Lytechinus pictus: one gene and its partner. The protein of the gene in region 2 interacts with the protein of the main gene of each other region in a pairwise test. Links are inferred from orthologs where the notes say so. Each region holds a gene or a part of one and is shown on either strand. Other genes may lie near its edges.

Evidence for each region.
Region 1: the proteins of EF-hand domain-containing family member C2-like (region 2) and enhancer of mRNA-decapping protein 3-like interact in binary tests that used the Homo sapiens proteins (3 or more experiments, as listed by UniProt). The link is inferred for Lytechinus pictus from reciprocal best matches to the Homo sapiens genes EFHC2 and EDC3.

The regions. Positions count from the first base shown.
Region 1 is NC_087249.1:27,566,790-27,573,753, forward strand, and holds the start of enhancer of mRNA-decapping protein 3-like, read right to left. Parts: upstream 3,018-6,964; 5' UTR 2,921-3,017; coding exon 2,754-2,920; intron 2,026-2,753; coding exon 1,880-2,025; intron 1,320-1,879; coding exon 864-1,319; intron 180-863; coding exon 1-179. UniProt on the Homo sapiens protein: Binds single-stranded RNA. Involved in the process of mRNA degradation and in the positive regulation of mRNA decapping. May play a role in spermiogenesis and oogenesis.
Region 2 is NC_087260.1:22,384,362-22,392,151, reverse strand, and holds the start of EF-hand domain-containing family member C2-like, read right to left. Parts: upstream 3,003-7,790; 5' UTR 2,816-3,002; coding exon 2,774-2,815; intron 799-2,773; coding exon 462-798; intron 1-461. UniProt on the Homo sapiens protein: Microtubule inner protein (MIP) part of the dynein-decorated doublet microtubules (DMTs) in cilia axoneme, which is required for motile cilia beating.

The sequences.
Region 1 (6,964 bases), on a different chromosome or scaffold from region 2:
CTCCTTGTCAAACAAGGCAAAGTTTGAATCAAAGTCAAAATCATCGTTGAGGAAGCTTTCCACAGGGGCACTGAAGCATTCAGCGTTGCGTGAGTTGAATCCTCCTCGGTTGTGCTTGCGGGTATTACCTCCACTGATCTTGACAGGCGATGATCGTGTGTGGTTGCTCTCGTGGTTCCCTATATCAAAGAGCAACATATCAAGTGATGCAATTAGTATCATACTTGCAATGCACACACTAAAATGACTTTCAAAGGAGATTTACTAATCAGGGATGCCAGTGACATATGACTCCAGGGCCTAATTTTTTTTCAGATGGAAAATTATGCACGCAAAGTCCCTACAGCCAGGATCCAGCTCTAGGGTTATAGATGCTCTCTGGCAATCTGAGCATATTTTTTGTATTTTATTTTCCAGCTAATCTGTGGTGGGATCAAAGGGAGAAATGGAAAACACATAGCACTTATGTTAAATTTGAAAGAGACAGAAAACTGGCATTCCTGACTATTGATTTATGCAACACTTTTGGGATCACTGTGCATTAAATCGTCATGTTGATTGCATGATTGAGATTACAAAGCACCTTCAGCAGCAAATAAGAGCATACTATGGATGCCGACTTTATCAGCAAACTACAGTGTAGGACATGAAAACAAATCACTGATTGAGATCCAGAGGTAAAAATTGTTCATTATTTAAATAAATTATCTGTTGGGGAAACATAAATATCTATGACTTTATTATTTGTTTTTAATGTGTACAAGTTGCCTGGTCTCTAAACCAGTAAGACGCCATTGGCATCAAAACAAACAAGGAAATTCCTGGCATGGTATCGCCCAACAAGAGAAAAGATGTAGTCTTACCAGAATAGGTTCTTCTCCTTCCTTTGTCTCCTCCTTGCCTGTATTCTTCCTCATCTCTACCTGCATTTTCATTCCCACCTGATCTACTAAGTCCATCCACGCTATGGACCCTCTGAAACCCTGGTCTACCAGGTCTGCCACTATCATCCCCTTTCCCTTGGGGCATCGAAAACGACGCAGAGCGCTTTGCTTTGAACCCAACCCTCCCTTTCTCCTGGGAGTCTGTTCCTGTGGTTTCATTGCGGTTTGGTGAGTGAAAGGCAGAACGCTGGCTGTGATTGAGATGGTTCTGATGTTTGTTTTTCTGTCCACCTTCTGTACTGGATTCTTTGTACGTTCCTGCAGGGGTTTTTCTGTGGGGTGATTTGCTGTGAGCTCTTTCTGAATTTCCTGATCTCCTTACTGCAGTCAGACTGGGTTTACTCAGCTCCCCATTCAGCTTGTTGGTAGATGTGTCTGTAAATTGAACAGACAGTTTTTATATTGTGGTAAACTCCTTTTCAATTCTTTCCCAATACTTAAAAAAAAAACATACCATCAATCGGAATGATCAGACGAATATCACTTTTAACATTATCTCATTAAATCATATCTCATTAATAATAATTTATTTGCCATTTTAGTCATAAACATGTTAGCAGAAGCAAATATTTTTTGACAGTTCATCATATCAATATATAACATTTGAGCATCCTACAAGTTTTTAGAATAAGTCCACAATCTGGACAATGAGAACAAATATCATTCAATAGTCAATGAAAATCAAGGCTTTTGTATAAGTAACCATTATATGATCATTTTGGCAAGATAAACTGAATTCATGTAAAACAATCAACCTTAATCCATGAACCAAAAAAATCTTCTAGACCGCATTCTAAGCTTCAAACTTCATATAAATTCTTACATGTACCCCACAACTGAATTCAAAACAGATAATACTGTAAAAAAAACTCATATACATGTACATTTTCTATACATAATAGGATTTTAAAAATAACTATGTACAATGTATGTACCTTTGTTATTAGAGATAGCGTCTCCATTTACTGCTTCAGACTTTGATTTACAGCTGACTGCTTTGATGATCGCTCTATTTTTCTCTGCCTCTGCCTTCAAATCAGCACTTGTTTTCAGGATCTTCAGATCTTTGATGTCTGAAGCTCTGAAATAAGAGTGTTTATAATCATTCTTATATATCATTCTTATACAAACCTCGCAAATGCGTACTGGGAGTACCCATTATATCATTTTACATGTTGATTCTTCGTCTAAATTCGTCTAAATTAAAAGCATCCTTTCTATGTAATGTTATTACCTCCCATAAGATCAAAGGACCATTTTAGAATGGATTAATTAATGTAAAGGACCATTTAGAATGGATTAATGTATCAATCAGTATGCTTATGAACTGTTGGAATTTCATCAAATGGTTGAGAAGCGGTATTATACCAAAAAGAAAATAAATATTTAAAGCCTGAACATGATTTCTTTTCATTCCTGCATTTGATACTGAATTTTACTATTGAATATACAATTTTAGATCACATTTTCACACAAGTGCTTTATGAAGTACACGTAAGTTTTGATTGATAATGAATTCAATCTTATAAATGAATAATCTTTAGATTTACCAGTTTACTCCATAAATGCTTTAGAATAGAATATGATTTCATGAATATAAAGTTCAACACACTCATGTCAAATGATATCAAGTTATGTTTTTTTTTCATCAACTTATATTTATAAGTTAAGTGAATCAATGGAAATAACTATTTCAAAATTTCACAAATTAATGAAAACTGCAAGCCATGTCTCTTCAAAATGTTCAAAGTCATTTAAAATAAAGTAGAGACAGAAATTTTTATTTTTCTTTAAGGTCTTACAACAAACCTCATTGTTACTTCAGGAACACCATACTTGACTCCATTCCTGAATGCATTCTTAAGAGAGATAGTTTGTCCTTTCTTGCACACAGAAGAAACTTCACCTTGGAATGTCCCTAGGACCGGCCCGCAGTCTAAGGACAGATAGTTCCCAATGAAGCTTTCACTAGCCATACCTTCTTCCAAGTAGCGATCGACAGGGAACACTCTAAATGAATTCAAGCTCTTGTAGTCTGGCCAAGAAAATCTAGAAAATATCAAAGTAATTGAATAGAAATACTGCATTACTTTGTAGTTTCAAATGTGATATTTGGAAAATATAGATACATGTATTGCCGGGTAATCTTTGTAATCCAAAGTTTTTGTGTATTATAACCCTTACTTCTAGCTGTTATTTTAATATAAAATTCCCTTATTCCTCTATAACATTGATATTACATTGCTATTATTCATAATGATCCAGACCATTTCATATTTCATAGTCAGACACAAATATATATCTTTATTGTTATTCTTTCATCCAATTTTCTATTCCCAACTTGCCACGAATTAATTCATTTTTAAAGTAGAAATATATTGAAAATCATAAAAATGAAGAATTATATATCAAATTAAAGGGGAAAAAAGGAAGAACACGATGGTGTACATCATTTATCATGGAGACCTATGGAACTCACTTAATTGATAGTTTAAAGTTCTCTCTCTAAATGCTTCAAACACGCTCAATTACGTCCGCAAAATTGGGTTTTTTTGATGACGTGTATAAGTGTACGAGAGACGTGATTGGCTCTCCCACGTAAAGCTCCACTTGCATGCAAAACCTGTTGCGAGGGTACGTTTTCTCCACACTGTCACTGAATACTTCGATCACGAAATGAAAGAAAACCCAGAAGTTTATTTAGATTTTGGATTTTCAAATTGATGATTTTGAAGATGAAGAGAATGATGATGAAGTTTCTAGCTCTAGTGACGTGGATGGAGGTAAATTAGGGGTATCACGTCTATGATGATGAGTCTGACAATTCAACTTGCATGCCGATTCGCTACCAACTCATGCAGCTGCTAGTGCAGTGCTGGCTGCACGTAGGCCTTTTTTTTTCAGAGGCGAAATTGCAATCTGCAGCTGGTTTCGCACCGTAATTTTTGGTGAGCAGGAAAGCGAGGTCAAATTGGGCGCGCCCTTTTTTGAAACTTTTGTTCCTGAGTGTTGTTATGGTCGACTATTATTTTAACTTCGAACAATTTCGGATCTTGGAGCTACTTGACATACATGTAGCCATAGAATTTCTACCATGGTGAGGATAATAGCAAGACAAAATAAAATATGTATACATAAGAAAATAATAAGACATCAATTTGTTTATGCTACTGCAGGGCTTCTGGCTCAGCGATGACTCCTTATAACTCATGTTCCTTTTTTTTTAATCCCTCAACATTCATTGTGATAGTGATAGTACTTCCTTAATTTAATATTCACACATGCAAATGTACATTGGTCATTATTAAAACCAGGAAGTTGAGAGGTAATTCCATGGAGGTAAATCCCTGTAATAGAACCATGCAACTGTATTAGCCCGCAGATTTTCATCTCACCGGAAGCATGTACCAAATCAGGTCATTTAAACACGTTTACGATCGTGATCCTGTTTATACTTCCCCAGAAACCCTGATTCTGGTCAAATGTTTAGAAACGCACCTTTTCGTAAGTTTACGATCAGCGTTCTGAAACGTTGTTTAAATGAAAGTAAGAATGGATGCAACAGTGTTTTGGACTAATCACGTATGAAAATGCTGAGTCTGGCCTGAAAAAGTGGAAGCATAAACATGCCCTTAAACATTTTAATTATATACATGTACATGTTCTAAATCTCTAAATGTATAAATATTTGTTTATTTATGTTACCAAGCATTGCATAGGCCTACATGTAGATATTTTTTACTCAGATTTTGATCTTAATTTTGTGTATGATTTGATGATTTTTGTTGTAAATTTTAAGCATAACATGAAAAACACAAAAATGTAACAAAATAAAAATATATTTTTTCTAAATAAAAATTAAAAAGTGGTATATGCCTAGATAACAATTTAATTGAATGACAGATGTTACTGACTTCAACCCATCCTCCCGCTCTGAGTCTACTTCTATATCTACTCAGACCCAGTCCCTGAGACAGCATCCCAAGGCCACTCAAACTACTCTCGCCATTATCCCGCAAGATCTGAAAATCTCGAGGGCATCTCAAACCAGTCTCCCTACTAGCCAGAATACCCAACTCAATCCACTAAACCACTCTAAACAGGATGCTGCTTGTGACCCTCCTGAGGATATGTTACCAATTCCATCTGATTGCAAATGTACCAGCCTCTCCAAGAAGCTAAGGGACACCAAGGATAAACTCGATAACATCATCTTATCAAAAGATGTCCTCCTTGTGCAGTATGAACAAGTGGTATCCAACTTACAACAAGCCAGGTACGAAATTGAGTCTCTCAAAAAGCTCCGTTCAGCAGATTCCAATCACAAGAAGAAGGCACAAAAAACAATAGCAGACCTAACATCAGAGCTCAACGGGAAGGAGAAAGAAATTGTATCGCTCTTATCCTCAAATGATCATCTTGTTGCTATCTGCCTGAACCATGACATTGATGAGAATGAACTTCCGTATCTTCTAGAGGACAAGCGTGCTACTGGACATAGCAAGGTGAACAAGGTGACACACCATATCCCTCCTTATTCTCACCTGGAAACTTCCACCACTCACAAAGTTTCTGTTGCACGCCAAGGAACCCCTGTCTCCACATCGAATCGCTTTAGCATTCTTTCAGACCACCTGAATGACTCGCTACATGCTTCCTTTGCTGGAACAGAGGAGGAACATGGCAATTCTGTTAAGCCTCATCCTGCATCTAATTACTCACAACACACACATAGAAAGTCAGGCCAAATGTCAGCTGAGACACACAGACAGAAGAAGGATGATCCTGGCTACTTCAAGAAAACTGATCAGGATCTCCTCAAGACAAACCATCTTGGACCCTTTCCTAGTGATCCTAACCGTGGAAGCCATATCAAGCCAGCTGACTCTCCTTCTCAAAGGAGAGCTTTCCAAAGCCATCCTAAGCCATTGGACCCTAGAGATTCTTCTTCTAAAAGTCAGACTCCAACCTCTACTACCAAAGTCGATGTATCTTACTCGCCCAAGAAGCGTCTTGTACCTAAGTCTGCCTCCCCTGTAATCTCAATCCATGCCCAAACTTACTCGGCGACCAATTCCTCCCCCCTGAGAGGACAGAATAAGACCTCTACTGGACTGAATGACCGTACCAACCGGGGCAACAGTACCAGATATTCTCCCCAGAGACGAGAGAATAAGATCTCCAATGCACCAGGAGTCACTCCTGCCCGGAGCAACAGATTTAGAGACTCCCCCAATAGAAGACAGACTAAATCTTGCACTGGACAAGGAGTCACGGCTACCCGGAGCAACAGATCTAAAATCTCTCCTTCGAGAGAGCAGAATAAGTCTTCTACTAGCCCAGGAAGTCCCCATCCCCAGAGCAACAGACCCAAAGATGTCATGCCACCTAGGCAGAATGCAGATACCTTTGCACCCAAAACCACTTTCATTCCCAGACTTGATCACCCTACAACACCTTGCCAAATCCCACCTCTTATGGACATCAGAATTCAGAAGAGTCCTACTTCAGCAGCTCAAACGCAAATGGCACCCATACAGAGTCGTGCTTCTACCAATACCGCAGACACTCATAGTCCTGATCTCTTTGAGCCTACCAGTCCTCTTACACACTCTACCAGCTGGTCAAGGAATCCTTCAAAAAACAGTCAAAGAGGCTCGATTACCCCAGGCCAAAAAACTCCTCTTACCAGGTTGGACAACTCCATTACCTCCCAATGTAGTGAATGCTTTGTCCTGTCTCCTACCAACCCTCTATCAGCCACTTCACCACGCAATGTCCCTTCACCTACGCCACTCCTTCATGCAGGAAATGCTCGCCGCCCCTTTGCAGTGCAGTACCCACTACTCCTACCTCCTCTCAGGCTCCCTCAAGGTCTGCTTCATCATATTAACAGCCCCCCACAAACACTTCTCTGCCACATCCCAGTAGCAGTGCCTCTGAGCGGAACCCACCACATCCTCCTCCCGCCCAACGAGTGACAATCCATGCAGCTCCTACTTCATCAATGCACCGCCCAA
Region 2 (7,790 bases):
ATTGATTTATAGAAAATTGCATCATTCGTTGAAAAAAAAACGTTTTAAAACGATTTAAAACGTTTTAAAACAATAAAAAACGTTTTATTTGTTTTTTTTAATAAAAAACGTTTTTTATTACAACCCTTCCTTAAAACCTATCCTTCTTTATAATTAGATTTTGCCACTTTGTATGTAAGCTCTTGTTGGCCTAAATGGAGAAGTAGGTATTCGCAATAATTCTCTTTTCTGTATATCTGGATATTTCATTATCGATTTGATTCCTATGAATAAGAGGTTAATTGATTACATTTTTATTGTTGATTCCAGTAATTAACTAGTAGATGTGTACACCTCCAGTTAAAACTCTTCTTGGAGTATTTCGGTGGAACATCATACCAAGTACCAAGTACTGGAAATTCTGCACATAGAAATACCAGTATTACATTATAAGCACCTTATTATTATCATTAATCACATACCTTGTGGGATACCGCTGTTTTCAACCAGAGGTTCGATGACCTGAATGGAATCGTCCTCAAGATAGAAATAGATCTTGCACTTCCTGATGCGATACTGTTGCCTCATCTCATGAACAGCCTCCTGGAAGAAGGCGTCAAAGTGCAGAACCTGCTTGTCAAAGGCCACCCAGGACGGAGATGAGTTGCCTTGGCCCTGGGGTATGCTGCTTGTCTCAGGCTTGAGCTTCTGTCCAAGTCGTTTGTCACCTCCGATGCCTGGCTTGTGTTCTCCGACCATCATGGGTACTTCATTACTGTAGTCGAAGTGCTGCGACTTGTGGAATTTATCTTTCCCCAACTGACAAAATATGGGAGAGGAAAATGAGATACAAAAATTAAATACCATGATTGGACACTTTGTTTTTGTTGGCTCAAGACTTATATATCTAGATTCTATACCGTATTTTTAGAGAATGTCAATTGTTGACTCATTCAACAAATGTGTGAGATTGTCCCCATAAATGTTAAATGATTGAACTTCAGTGATATTGTTCTAAAATGACTAAAATCAAATCCGTCCCTGTCCCTGTAGATTTACTCCTAGTATCTACTCTTAGTATTTAAAAATTGTCTGTGTTAATTACATGTACGTCTTGTTTAGAAATTCCTCCAAACAGACAGATTTCAGCTAACCTAATGTTAACCCAGGTAGGCTCAACGCCAGCAGTCACACAAATTGATTTTTGTGACGCAGAGTACCGGAAATGTACCTCAAAACACCCGCCCAAAATACTGAAAAAAAATGGAAACCATGCACCCACCTCTTGGACTGAAGTTAGCAACCAAAAACATGCAAACTGGTGAGCTGCCGTGGGCAGATCTTCTGATCATTAACTTCAGTTCTAACTTGGAATTCGTTCAAGTACAAGTTTACCATTTTGTGTGCAATTTTGAATGGGAGAGAATGGATGCCGCACTATTTTTTTTTTTTCAGGGTCAAGCTCCTGAATACTACTTTTTGATGATAGGGATCCTGTGAAAAAACATCGATAAAATTGAGGTGGGTGCATGATGTCCATTTTTTATTTATTTGGGCCTGTTTTGAGGTGGATCTATTAATTATTATGGTAAGGTGCCCCAAAGGCAAAGCCCTCGTCTGCGTACACGAATATCTGTGCGATTCTAATAAAAGAAGATACTCAACGACAACAAAATTTACACCTGAAATACATAGATGTTCTGAGCTAGACCCTCGCGCATGCAATGTTTTGAAATCGGCAGCGAATTATTTATACCTGTGAGCCGTGAGGAACTCGATGTTGGCTCTAAATCACAAATTTTGAGGCTAACCGGGGAATGGATTTGGACTAATTGGAGTTGAATTAGGATGAGAAGTAAGAAATTAAGCTTCTTATTCTTTTTAAGCAAGTTTCGGTGTAGGATTTTTACAAAAAATGTGCAATTTTTCCCCAACTTTGCCACTCGGGAGTCACCCAAGGCCAGGGTTCATTACATGCCGCCGCGCACAGAAAAATCAAGCCATAGAACTAGAAGTCGTGTGTTGTACACCAGAGGCAGAAGTGGGATCTCAGCACGTGCAACCCACTAGTTAGAAATTCACTGCCAAACGCGGCTCATGGTGCGAGGTAATAGTAAACCTCGCAATACATGTGACTGAGTGCTCGGGAGTATCAGATTCAGAGCGAGTTTTGGATCTTGATGTTCGGGTAGGTGGAGCGTAGTGACTAGTGTAGCTGCCTGTACTGACTGTAGTGAAGAGGAGTGGAGCCTGCACGAACATTGCTTGAGGTAGGCCTACCGGTAATTTGTATCTAACTTTTCCTTCCTAAATCTCTGTCAGATAATTCTTAATCTTGATAAACCTTCTGGCTTCTCCATATTTTTTTTTCAATTTTAGTTTACTTTTTTAGTGGAGCCTGGAGGGGACCGTAATCCGATCGGAGGGGACATTTGGAAGTCTTGCCGGCCAAATAATAATAGTTTACTGTTTAGAACTCTTTCCTTACTGGGCACTGGATTTTTTCCCATTTATTAATCTCAGTTTAGCTGTGATACTGTGACTTGTGAGTGTACCCAGTCCCATATATTAAGTTTCATTTCAGTTCGCCAAAATTCAATCTCCATGATGCCGGGCATGATTAATCAAAACACATTCAACATCACCATCGCCATCATCGGCACTCATCTCATTCTCAAAATCAAATTGGGCCATTGGCGCTGCCCCACTGGACTCTACGGTAGGGAGTCTAGCTGGAGCTGCACTGCCACAAAATTCAGTCAGCACTTCGTTTTCCTCTGTCTATGAAACTTACCCTGGGGTTGAAGGAATTTCCTGGTAAAAATGGTAACGACATTTTATGACTTAATGTCACTTAAATTAGCTATTAAAACTTGTCCAGCGCTGTGTTATTCTCTCCTTTCGCCTTGTTCCACTAGCTGCGGCTGATCTGAGTGACTGATTTTTCTTTTCTTCACTTATTTTTCGCATGTGTTATACACACTCCATTCACTTTGCACGCAAATCACCGGTTGTTATTGTGTGTCCAAGAGACTTGGCAACACAGCGTTTTCGGTCGCTATGAGTGACATCACGCAATGAGGGGTATGGCCTTAGTGTTGTACCGGGTGGCCAATATGCAAACCACGCCTCACCAACTCATCATGCTATAGTCTGCAAAAACAGACCCTGGTTGACACTTAAAGCAACACCGAGGGTCTTGACAAAAGTCTAGTTCAATTTTCCCTTCTCATTTTCAACACATACAAATGATCAACATCATTTTTTATAATAGGCCTACACTCCACATCAGGGGCGGATCCAGCTTCCGCCAATAATGTTACCCCATCAGCAGCTCAAAATTGATTTTGGTTTGTTTCTTTGAAGGAGTAATCCCAACAGTCACTATAGCAGAAGGTTTTGATATATATTCTAGCCTGATCGAATAAACTAGCACTTAAGACATATTTCGTCCGTAAAAAGTATTTATTTAACAATTTATAATCACAAAGGGAATAAGAAAGCATAATTAAATATTCTTCATATAACAAAAAATCTATATAATTATGAAACACAAACATACACATAAAACAAACACATAAAAACAGGAACAAAAAACCCAAATGAAATAAAACAAAAATAATAAAAACCTCACCTCGGAAGGACTGCTCCTGGGGTAGAGGACTATAAGGATGATTCTTCAAAGTGTTGCCATTTCCTATAAAGGTGAAATAACAAAGTTCCCCTTTCCAATGCAAGCATTTTCTCTTATTTTCTATTTTCAATTAATTTATCCTCAATTTCGTTTACATTTGGAGGTACCCTGTTTTCTCTACCAGTGAAGATCATAAATCTTATCAATATTAACATATGGTTTAGTTTCATTTATTCCATTATGAATTGGTTTTCAAGAAATTCCCTTAAAAATTTGAAGTTTAATCTATCAGTACATGTTAATTACAAAAGTGATTATGATCTTACTTTACGTAATAGGATCGCATCATCGTACAGAAACACCAGAATCGTTCTCTAATCACTCATAAAACTACTTCTAGCTTGTTGTGGATGATTTTGTTTTCACGTTTACGGGACTATACTAGCCTGGCATTATCACATTTTGAAAGTGCTTGCCTGAACAGATCTAACTTGATTTAATTGGTCAAACTATCTTCATCTTTAATAATCAAATCTTCAGTCCTGATTTAATAGCTTGCGTTACGGAATCCCATCCCCTCTCTTTTGCTCTGCATGTTCCCATGCATCTCTTTTAGATAACTCACCCACTTACTCATCCACCCTGCTCTTTTATTCATTTTCCGAGTAATTTTCTCATTTACTTCCATATTTCCCAGTGGTCGCTCACCCCCAACTTTTTGATAAGGGGTATTACATATTATAATACTCCCAGTTTCCATCCCACCCTGTTTATTTCTGTCCCTATCCAAATTAGGAATCTCTTCACAAAGTGAACAAAGTATGTTTATCATTATTACACATTTTTTTATTGACATGGGTACAAAGGAAACTGATCAATTGAATGAGTCCACACAAAGAAATATTCTTAACGGAGTTTTATAATGAAACAGAACAATTTATTAGTGCACTGCAAGAATTTTTCATGTTGACGCATGGTAATGTTATCTTTAATGACGTACAGGCGATACTTTCAAACAATTGATTTTACCATGGACCTACTAGTAGATGTTTTTACCAAGGATGAATCACTATATCGATACCTCCTTGACATTACCCACGTTCAAAAGACATGTAACTGGTAGGACACGGGTATCTCAGACATGCCTGATGTGGAAAGGGGGAACATTTCATGAAACTGCTCCACGTATCCATTGATATTACCGACTATAATTTGTGATAAGCCACTGAAATCTTTACAACTGATTGGCTCATATCATTTTTTATTTTGTTTTATGAAATGCTGCACAGGGCAGAGCATCACGCAGGCAGCTGTGAACCCCAATGCTGGCAACGGTTAATCAATATTTCTATTTGTTTCCTTTCTTTTTTGCAATTTGATTTGCGTCACGATGTTCAGAATTTTTACCGGTTTAAAACAAAAAAGTTTAATGCGAAGACAAATAACATCTTCGTAGACATGACATAACAATAGTAGAAGAGTCATGTGTTTTGCATCCAATGGGAGCAAAAGAATGGATATGGCACTGGGCATGCTTGGAAAAAAAACCACGATATCTACAACATACCATTTTCATTATATGAATTAATATTCAAGACTTAACAAAAATAGCATTACTAGTGTACTAGAAACATTTTTGTCTACCAATGGAATGTCGCATGAACAATAAATAATAATAAAAGAATCTCAATGTGTACGCATTATAGAGTGCATTTATCATGATGGAGTTTATCGATAATCCAACTTTTTCATCAAATACATCTCTGTCTACCAAGGGAATGTCGCACGTAATATAGAATAGTAATGAATAATGTAAATGATAAATCTACAGTGCGTTTATTAAGCTTCTACCATGTCTGCACAAAAGTAGAGTATATTTGAATGATGATGCTTATTAATAATCAAAACTGTTTATTAAGATTGAGTTATTTTCATTTAAAAATATACTTATCCCGTATATTAGTATGCCTAAATTAATTGGTATAATAGTGAATGAATAATGACTACGTTAATTAAAAGAGAAATTATCTCTGCAACTGAAATTTATCTACAAGAGTTTAATGTGAAATGCTAAAATATATGGCACTATACTACGATATAATGTTCATAGTTAATTTCAACAATTGGAAATTGTGAAGGTTAATATAGAAACTGATGACTTCATCTTTTTTGTAGAATATATACAAAAAAAGTTAATACAGGATTAAACTAATGCAATTCATCATAGATTACTTACTTATTTCTAAATTGCAATAAAAGATATGACAAGTAACGCTCATCCGTGTAGTATCATAGCAATGCAGTATCAATATTTGTAATGGGGTTGATATATTCACAGTATCACCATAATATCATCTTGATTTCATCGATACAGTTCACAACGGTAAATCTTCTAGGTTATCAGTTTCATTCGAAAGCAACAATTACACTAATAAACATATTTATTTATAATTATATCAACATTTATATTTCACAACTTGATTTCGTTTTGAAGCAATTTTGTTCATTAAGAAACGTATGGTAAAAGATATCGTTTTGTTTTGGTAGAAGAAACACCAAAGTCATCATACAACATGACTCTAAGTCTTAATTTAGAAACGCCGTAGTAAGGGTAACATAATCCGTTATTAATTTACATTGCATATTATGTTTTAATTCAAAATTTGATATCAAAATTATTATATATATATATATTATTAAATAAAAACATCGATGATATATTTAAAAAAAATCAGTAGCAGAGTAGAAACAAGTTTGAAATTCGTCTGTTAATAAGACAATATATTTTTGGTGTTTAATATGTACATGTTTAAACATGTGCAACAACAAAATACATATTTATACTCTGCATGATTCACCTTACGCTCAATTGAAGACGATCAATCGATGGATTTACGTACAGAAAGCATGTGTTAAATAAATGACAGCAATGCCATAATATTTGTTTTCTTCTTATCAGGAAAAGCGTAGAAAACATATTTGTCACTTGAAAATATACGATTAATACAGATTGTTCTTCATCATTAATTTTAATAAACTTACATGGCATTCATGTGATTCTTACGTGTAAAAGGTGTGTAAAAGTGTTGTCATGTTTTTAATCAGACATATACTACATGTAGTTCTTAAATTTAAAATATGTAGCATCAAAATTGGGGATGGGTTTATTAATCAAATTTGCATATTGTGTACTAGATGAAGGAATCGAATCAAACAAAATGATGGAAAATACTGAATTGCTTATTTGAATATGATAAAACTTTGCCACCAATACAAATTGAACTTTAAGGTTTTTTATATGTCTCTTTTGGAGCATTAAACATATTAAATGTATATCTAGCCCTATTACAAAACAAAATCATCTCATTTCTATTGTTTTAGGCAAAGTTTATTTTCAACCTTAACTCGAGTTCCTACTTTCATTTAGAGGAAATCTTAGGTGATTGACAATTTCTCCTTATTTCGTGCGAAAGAACAAAATGTCCCCAGTCTCATGAGTCGCAAATTCCTATCATTTATCATGTATTGGCATACACAACTTCTTCTGTATCCGGTAGGTCATCTTCCATGGAAGACACACCAAGAGAAGTTGACGGCATCTGCATAGGTTTCATATCCATATAAATGTGAGTCGTAGTCTCATCTCCATCTCCTTCTCCCGAGTGAAGATGGTTGATGGACTGTCGGTCATCAGGCTCACTCTCAAGTACCATACCGTCGGTATTCATATAATAGTGGGTTTTCGCCCAGCGTCGTACGACGCTATCTACGACGTAGAACGATCTCTTTGTTCGTGCGTCCGTCGCGCTCAACTCTCGCTTGTAAGCAGTTTCGCAAATCGCTGAACGCGGCCGGATCGACCGGCTGGCATGGTTGGCATGTAATGTTGACACGCCAACATGTGCATTGTATATGTTCCTACTATGTGCACACAACTGGCAGTGCCATGTGTCTTGCAGTCGCGTCGTCGACCGAGCCATGCAACGGCTTTTCAATCATATTTCAATAATCATACTCGTTTAAACTTCTACTGTAACATTTTGAAATTATACTTAGCTTGATTTTAGTATAATTGAAATGGTACTCACCGAAAAACTCGCATTCGAGTCCATGTTTTGAAGCTTTCAGCTATCAGTGTAGTCAGAGTAGAGTACAACATGTGCATGCACGCGATGGG